Linked DNA regions of Danio rerio. The protein of the gene in region 2 purifies or fractionates together with the protein of the main gene of each other region. This does not show direct contact. Links are inferred from orthologs where the notes say so. Each region holds a gene or a part of one and is shown on either strand. Other genes may lie near its edges.

Region 1 (4,569 bases), on a different chromosome or scaffold from region 2:
CCACAGGAGAGACCCAATTCAGACCGGTAAAAATACTGACCCGCCATATATAGAGGCTCTGACAGCGAACACTGATTTTGAGTGATCTTCTATAAACTTTTCCATGGATTCCCTCCATGACATCTATATATGTAAAGTACTCAGCGTAATTGAGGACACCCCATTTTGAAAATTAATATTTTTCTCCATTTACCAGTGAATATATGCAATGTATTTTAGTGTATTTAAACAAAACAGATTTATTAAACAGATATATTTATTAAAATAATATTTTAGTCACCAAACATATTTAGAAAGTAAAAGATAATACAATTCAATTCAAGCAAAATATTGCAAAAAATGGCTTCTGTTGATTTTTCCTCTTTTTTAAAATTTGTATTTTGTTTTTCTATAACATATAAATGTGGATGTACTAGTTTTTTTTTTGACTGTTAACGCAAGTACTTTTGTTAGATAAGCTCCTGATTTGGCTTCAGTACTGACTAATCTAATGTATATGCACACATAATATTGTATAGCTTCCTGTTAAAAATATGAATTTAAAAGAGAGGTTTATGAGGGTGTTCTTGTATATGCTGAGCACTGTATGCGATTATACGCAGTGCATTAGTGTCCACTCACTTTTTCAGCCGTGCAGGTTTTGGAGGTATTTTTCCCATGAGTATTTTACACTGCAAAAACTGCTTTTTTACTTTAGAGATTGAGTCTCGTTTCTAGTCCAAATGTCTAAAAATTAGTAAATCAAGAAGCATTTAGACAAGCAAAAACAAGCTTAATAATCTGTCAATGGGGTAAGCTTAATAATTTTATTTCTCAAATATTTTTTCTCACCCTGGTAGACATTTTCTCAATTTGACTTATTATTTCTGAAAAAGACGATATTTTGCTTGTCTAGAAAATGCTCCCTGTTTTAAGAATTTTTAAATATTTGAACTAGAAACAACTCGTAAACTTGAAGTTACAAGTTGAATCACAACACAATGATAAATAATAATTGCATAGCAAACTTTGATGCGATGCAAATAATTATATGAAAATCTGACAAAAAGTGTACTTGACAGCTAATGAGGGAAATAACTACAATTCCTGTTGTATAGTGAGTGACAGTCCAATGAGAAATTTAAAAATACATATTAAAAATATGCAAGTGTATATATACAGTACATATATACAAGAATTATAAAGCTGTATCTTTGAGTCATTTGCAATGCTTTATGGAAGTGGGTCTAAAGTGTTTTGCAAGCTGTTACTCTGATTAATGGATTTTTTTTTATATCTTCATGGGTAGGGACATTTTTAGACATTTTTTGCTATTTCTATGGAGAATTTTGTAAAAAAAAAAAAAAAAATTCTGTAAATGAGAAAAATTTACACAAGTAAATACATAGACTCAATCATGGGCTAAAAATCTGCGGATTTCGTGTGGGCCTAATCTTGGGTTAACTAGTTTCTCTGCTCAAATTCAACGCCCACCGATTTAACTATAAGAATTGAATGAATAACTACTGTAACTGTACAAATATATATACAAACAATTAAAAAACTTATAGCTCACAATGTATCTGTGTTTAAAGGTTTATATTAGTTAATGTAAAAGAATAATAAGAGTTTTTATATCTAGAACCGGTCTGTTGCACTCTTTAAGCTTCAGTTTTCAGTGTCACATGATCCATTAGAAATCCTTTTGATGTGCTAATTTTTCTGCTCGACAGATTTCTTTTGATCAGTTTTTTTTTGTTAAGTAATTTTGTGAAAACTGTAATTTACTACTACTAAAAGTTGTCATTAAATGGATTTTAAAAAGATAGACATTAAAATAGGGTTGCACGATACCGGGAAAATATGTGATGATTGCTAATCTCCATATTTAATATGATATAACTAACATGCAAAACGCTATTTTATCAGCAATTTATAAACATCATTTATGTAATGTTCATACTAAAATCAACAGGTAATAGATATTTTTCTGAAATAATTTAATGTAAAAATTAAAAACTATATTAATGTACAAACATTTCGACTTTAAAACACCATGAATGACTGAAAGTCTGATTCTTTTTGGCTGTTGTCAGAGGTAAAGTAAAGGCCCCATCTGATTGGTCAGATTTGGATAACCTGTGCATGCTGCACATAAAATTAACTTAATTTATTGCACTTCTCTGTGATAGGGACATGCATATACTTGGCTTTTATCTCTATATACTAGGGATAAATTATATTATATCAGATTGCCAATGATGCCAACAATGATAAGCTCTGGACTTTTTTTTACTTTTTTTTTATCTTATTGATCTAAGGGCCAATCACACAGCAGAAATGTGCAACCATGGGAATCTAGAAGTATATTGATATTAGATTTAAAAATCAAGCTCAGGATCAATTCAAAACAGAACAGCGGTGCATTTTAAAAAAACTAAAAATTGATTTCTGGAACAATTTTCCACCACAGCTCTATTTTAGATCTAAGGCTTCAGCCATAACTGCTACAAACAAAAAAACAAAGTGCTTTAATTTGTACATTTTACACATTGTCTATCTTCAACCAGATCTCCACGGGGAAGCAGCCATACACTTTCAGAGGAAAACAGACCAGGAAACCATGTGGTTCGACAGCCAGCAGGTCCAGACGGTACACAAGGCTTTCACCACCAGCGCAGATAGGAATAACAGCCTTTCCTGGGAGACCAGAAGAGGCGAGCGAGGGTCTCCCAGATTAGGGTTTAAATTCAAATCATTTTTATCAATATTTAGGATGTGGGATGTTCTTCAAAGAAATATAAAAAACCCTCTCGAATCCAGCACGGCCTGTGTGGAATGTACCGGGGGAAAGAAACACGATCTAGCGAAGCAGATGTGGGAAACTTTCCCTGCTTTTTACACTGTGATGAGGACCTCGCCTCCGGACACTGCTCACTGTGATGTCCAGCCCCAACGAAATCCCTTAAAAATTAAATGAAAATGGAGAGAAATGAAACAGAACTATCGTCCCTTCCTCACCTCATGTAAGCAAAATCCTCTGAAAAGACATTTGGGATGGAAGAAACAAGCGTGCTAGAAGCAACAGAAGAAAGGCACCAGCTTCCTTCAGCAATAATTCTAGAAATCTCACCAATTACTCAAACCTCCCTTCCACACTGTTCTCTCCAGCTTTTTGTATTGCTTGTGTTTGTCTTTTGTTTTAATTATTTTGGTTATTACCGGTCTGCTAATTGCCATATGTTTTTAAATGGGTAAGGAAGGTATGTTGTGGAAACTCGAGCTGACTTTCTTTATTGTTTACGGTTATCTGTTGTTGTTTTTCTTATGTTTTATTCATGGGTCTTCCTCTGACTGTCCTGATTTCTACATAAAGTAAAACGAATAAAAACAAAAACATAAGTAGAGAGTTAAACGAGTGCAACAATCACATTTTTAAGCCGTTTCTATGCCTTTTATAATATGATTTAAAGGTAGTCGTTTTTAGACCTGTGCATTTTAACGGAAAAGATGAGTTGTGTAAATATTTGTCGTGCTGGGAAGAACTGAAGAGAGGGTGAAACGAGGAGAGATAAAAAAAAAAAACAGGTTTTGCTGGCTTCCCTCGTCTCACTTTCTTAAATCTGCTGTTGGCCATTTTCTTCTCTCTCTTTTTGATTTATTTACTTATGTAGGAACTCAGGTTGTTGTGAGGAATTATGAGCGAATGAATGAAGTTGTGTATTGCTGGATAGGTTTTTTTTTGTTGTTTTTTTTAACTGAATGATGGTGCAATGTTAAGCGTACATGATGAAGTATGGCTTCAAGATCATTTGAAAACTCATCTATGACTACAGAATATCCTATAAGAGTTTATTTAATGTTTATTGAAACCTAAGAGAAATGTGTGTGTGTGTGTGCGCCGCACCAGTGGCTTAACTAAGCAACTTGTTATTGAAAGTGTTAAGTCAGTTGATCTAGTTGCTTTGGCTCTTGCAATACAGTGTCTATATATGAGGAGCCATACTACTACTTTTCTTGACTGTAACTCCCTGTTTATTTCTTTTTCTAATTTACTTTTCTGTGCTGTCCACGAATGAAATCTCATAACTCCTGCAGTTTATGAAAATACCCTTTAATCTGACGTGTCATCGTTCACCCATTGTGCTGTAAAAAAATCAGACCAGACGGGTTTGTCATGCCCTGCCTGAAAACACAGAAATCTGCCTGTAAATACTTTTCAAAATGCCCATTTAATAAAGACTTTTTAAATAATGCCTCTGGATACTGTTTGTTAAATGTTTAATCTTATGTTAATCCACTTTTTAAATGTGACTCTGGACCACAAAACCATCATAACTGTCAATGTTTTGATATTGAAATGTATACATATTGTAAATGAGCTTAATGTTGACTTATGGTTTAGGACACTATTTGACCGGGTTATCTACTTTAAAGTGTAAATGAAGTGCTTAGCAAGGCATATTACTAATAACAAATATGGTTTTATGGTTATCCTGGCTGCAGGATATTGGAAAAATCGAACATTGCTATATTTTTTTTTATTCTGCGATATATATTGTGACATGAATACAATTTCACTAGAGGAGT
Region 2 (4,825 bases):
CCTTTTTTTTCCATGTGCTTTAGGTATATGAACATGATTATCAACTATATTCATACCCATTTCCTCTTTGGTGGTGTAGTCATATTTGTAAAGCTTGAAATCATCTCCTCCAGCCACAAAGAAGTCTTTATCAGGATGCAGGGAAGCGGAGTGAATGGAAGCAGGGGCGTCTACGGTCTTAATCAGGTCCAAACTGAAGATAACACAAAATATCAGTCTGGCGCTATCAGTTTTCTGTACAGTACAGAACATGTTTTTTGTTCCAACTTGACGTTCAAGGTAATATTTGCACGATATGAAAGATAGAAACCTGTGGGCATTATAGAAAGCGATGGTTCTCCCGTATGTGATGACGAGAGTCTCCCCATCAGGAATGTACTCCATGCTGCTGACAGATGCATCGAATGATAAAGTCTTCACCGCCTCGTTTGTGTTCTTGTCCCAAAGTCTATACATAGAAGATGACACTAAATCAATCTATCTGCATATGTAAAGTCAAAAGATGTTACCATTCGGGATACTCACCTGATGGTTTTGTCGTCGGCAGCTGAAAGAATCTGCTGGTCATTGTTACACCACAGTGCTTTCTTTATGGCAGAAGTGTGGCCTGCAATCTCCTGGGGTTCTGCATTACAAAAGTTACTTTTTAAAACCAGGTTTGCATTTATGAAAGGAAGCGGCTATCATCAAAGCAAATAAACTATTATTTAACTTTCAATACCTGCTTCAGGTTTGCTGAGGTCATAGATGCGCAGTACTTTATCATTTCCTCCAGTCAGGAGATAGTTACTGTCCTGTTGGTTCAACACATGCTGGTAAAAACTCCTAAATGAAATTACTCTGGCAAGTTTACAGAAAGTGACTTCATTTACATGTAGTAATCGGTGATCAAATGATTTGCCTTGATCTGAATAAGACAATAAAATGTTTAAGGTGTTTACATGAGTTACTTTTTGAATATTGCTTTCATGATCCCTTTTTACATGCTATAGCACATAGTTTGATTAACGTTGTTGCGTCATCGTGCTATCCACATTTGCTCTGGAGTTTCATGTAATTTCGGGAGTTTTATTTTTATTTTGTTGACTTTAACTGCAGTTTGGCACTTTCATTCAGGAATAATTCATGCATGCCCCCATGACAAACGAGATTTTGGATTTTGGATATTGGTTTTTTAAAAAAAAAACTCAGCATTTCGCAATGTACACTGTAGATGTCTGTGGTCCTACTGACTTGATAGTGCAGAGAATAGTGTCAAACAGCCGTGTGTATATAGACTGTCCCATTGCAAAATGTGGCAAAAACCCTACACAACGGTAATAGTTTGATTGCGTTTACATGTCTTTACAGTGTCAATGATGTGACTAAAACCGGCATATGCCACGTCTTAATTACATTTCTGTAGAGTTTGATTATGACCTTAATCTGATTAAATTAATGAAAAATTTCTGTTTATATGGTAGAGTCTTAATCAGAGTATTGTCTTAATCGTATTAAAATTGCATTGGTATCCTTGTAAATGTACTGAGTGATTGAACACATGGGTTACTATTGTTCCAAACTTTATTTCATTTTATTTATTACTTTATCTATTGTGGTTTAAATTTAATAAGGAAAGTCCCAGTGACATGCTGTTTCTCCTGTCAGGGTTCACATTTGAAAATGAAGCTAACTGAAACATTTAGTTATGAAACTTTACTGATTGCCGAAGTAAATTATGAGAATCATGAAGCAAATTGAGCCAGCATTCTGTTAACCCGTGGTTTTGAATGACCACAGGTTAACTATTTTAAGTAAGATCATTTCATAAACCAAGTGTTGCATAAATAGTCTGAATATCTCAATATAGATCAGTATTATATCTTACTAAAATTGTTGCAAAATGTTTTAATTAGATACTAGAATAAATTAATGACTTATTCATTTGTTCATACAAGTAGTTTAAAATAAATACATTTAGCCTGTTATGCCAAAGTTGCATTTACTTATTCAAAAATACAGTAAAACTAATATAAAATTATAATAATTTAAAAAACCCACGTTGTGCATAAATATAATTTGAAATGTATATCATATTCCAAGATTACAAAGTCAAGATTTCATCTGCCATAACTCTTGGCTTACACAATTTTGCAGAACTCGTTCTATACATCAGCATGGAATACCTGTGTAAAGTTTACAGACTTCACAATGTGCTTGTGCGCCAGGGTGAGGACCTCGTCTCCAGTGACAGCATCCCATACCTTCCTGTCAGATTCATAAGAAATATAGAAAGTAAACTCATGTTTCAACAATAACAGTTCATCTTTTATTCCTTTAACACTTACGCTGTAAAATCTGCTGCGGCCGTTGCTGCTTTTGTAGCTTCTGTATTCAAGGTGGCACCCCAGACAGCACCCTTGTGACCCAAGAACGTCCCAATCCAGTCCCCTGTGTCACCCTGGCGCAACATAGGTTTGCCATCTGCAAAATTTGAACACAAAAACAAACTTATTTGACAGATACATGACATATGCACACACTTATTTTAAGAAATGCTTACTTTTTAAGCACACTGCCCTGCAAATGTAGGTAAAAATGGTTTTATATTTAAACTTTCTCCTTAATTTTATTTCAGAAAAACATTATTAGCAAGTTATAAATAGCAAAATCATATTGTCAGCCAATGACTATCAAAGCACAACATTGTTCACAATCAAGTAACGTGATAATGTTGTTTTGAAGTCATAATTAAATGTGATTTCAAGCCGAATATTCAAAGTACCATGGTGAACAATATAGGGAGCATGTCACAAGTGGTCACTGCATGAATGTGCAACTATAAAACCAACAATGCCCTGCAATGAGGTTGTGTTTACTGTGAAGAGTTGGTTTTAAGTCCAAGTACATACAAACCTTTACAAGCACTAATGAGGAAATATCCATAAGGAGTTATTCCACTGAACGCCAGATCCACAACAGGTCTGGTGTGACCAGAGCAGGTGAGAGGGGTCTGTCTCATGGCCATACTTACTGAGGACCTAAAAAGATGACAGGACACATAAGCAATTGTACTGAAACATAGCTACGTATTTCTTAAAATTCAAGTATCAAATAAGAGATGTACATATGAAAAATCAGAACAGGTGTGCTGGCTAACACAAGCTTGGCTAGTCAAAGAAAAACAATCATTACCTTGCAAAGCTAGCAAATCAACGTCACACACTAGTACTTTGCGGCCAGATTGCGTATCGGGGATGATTGCGGAGCTGCACTCCCAGCTACAGTGCTGTGCCACCAGCTACACGAGGTGTGTGTGTGTGAGTGTGTGTGTGTGTAAGCTAAACTCGAGCCCTCGCTAACGCTACAGGAACATAATGGAAGCACTAGTGTGAAAGCCCGGCCATCATTTCCGGCCCGCGACGCCACGGGGATTGGACAGAACTGGATCACGTGACCTGTCGTAGCGTCGGTTGAGAAAGCGTACATCCCGTTTTTCTACCAATGGACGTGTATGTACAAATAAAGTGCTAACATGTGCTGTATTATGTTTAAATTCCATTATCTAATATGTAATATCTGGGATAGGAAAGATTCTAGCGTTAATATGAAGACGCTTTCTCAGTACGAACTACAAACGAGGAAAGTTACTACTTTGACACACTTCGTTTATCAGTGTTGTTAACGGATGGTTATATAACTAACGTTATGGCAAATGTGAGGAAATAACATGTTAATAATAATAATAATACTAATAATAATAACAATAATAATAATAATCAGTGCCATAAATCAATAAGCTTTACGCTATTTAAAATATATATAAGGTAAACTTTCTGAGCCACGAAGCGCCCCCTGTAGGTAAGTAACATCTGCACAGGATATAATTACTATTTGAATAGAGCGGTCAGGATAAATATTACACATGGGCTGGTTGCGGTAAAAATGCTTTACATTCAGACATCTCAATGATAATTTTGCGTGCAAGCCTCACTGGTATGTCTACGTGTGCTCTGATGTCATGATAACCTCACTGTCATGGGACACACCTGTTTTAAATGACTTAGAGCAATTTCTGGAAAAACTCACGGAGTTCTTTGAATATTCTGAAGGGATGTGCAGGCAGGCAGGCACGTAGATAGATAGATAGATAGATAGATAGATAGATAGATAGATAGATAGATAGACAGACAGACAGACAGACAGACAGACAGACAGACAGACAGACAGACAGATATAGATAGATAGATAGATAGATAGATAGATAGATAGATAGATAGATAGATAGATAGATAGATAGATAGATAGATAGATAGACAGACAGACAGACAGATATAGATAGATAGATAGATAGATAGATAGATAGATAGATAGATAGATAGACAGAGAGACAGACAGACAGACAGACAGACAGACAGATAGATAGATAGATAGATAGATAGATAGATAGATAGATAGATAGATAGATAGATAGACAGACAGATAGATGATAGATGGATGGATGGATGGACGGACGGACGGACGGACAGACAGACAGACAGATAGATAGATAGATAGATAGACAGACAGATAGATAGATGTTTTATGTTCTCATTGCAATGTCTATTTAAACGTCATCCAAATTAAAGGCAGTGCTTATGACTCATTAATCACAGCTTTTTGCAAATCTTACATAATTGCATCTCTGAAAATCTTGCTAAAGGCCATTAGAGATGAAGATCTACTGTAAGCACACATTTTCATGAGGGGAAAACAGAAATGCAAACACAGGACGCCTCTCTCATTTGAGCATTATCTTAGTAACACAGTAACGCTGAAAGCTTCAGATGCAAATCAGCGTGTGAGT

What was found.
Region 1: the proteins of strap (region 2) and szrd1 purify together in Homo sapiens (co-immunoprecipitation; 3 studies listed by BioGRID and IntAct, counting the BioPlex papers as one, with this or other methods). This does not show direct contact. The link is inferred for Danio rerio from reciprocal best matches to the Homo sapiens genes STRAP and SZRD1.

Annotation. Positions count from the first base shown.
Region 1 is NC_133198.1:27,446,251-27,450,819, forward strand, and holds the end of szrd1 (SUZ RNA-binding domain-containing), read left to right. Parts: coding exon 1-26; intron 27-2,549; coding exon 2,550-2,664; 3' UTR 2,665-3,564; downstream 3,565-4,569.
Region 2 is NC_133179.1:17,468,020-17,472,844, forward strand, and holds the start of strap (serine-threonine kinase receptor-associated protein), read right to left. Parts: upstream 3,365-4,825; 5' UTR 3,175-3,364; intron 3,021-3,174; 5' UTR 3,008-3,020; coding exon 2,896-3,007; intron 2,464-2,895; coding exon 2,328-2,463; intron 2,248-2,327; coding exon 2,166-2,247; intron 795-2,165; coding exon 722-794; intron 626-721; coding exon 526-625; intron 449-525; coding exon 311-448; intron 194-310; coding exon 57-193; intron 1-56. UniProt on the Homo sapiens protein: The SMN complex catalyzes the assembly of small nuclear ribonucleoproteins (snRNPs), the building blocks of the spliceosome, and thereby plays an important role in the splicing of cellular pre-mRNAs.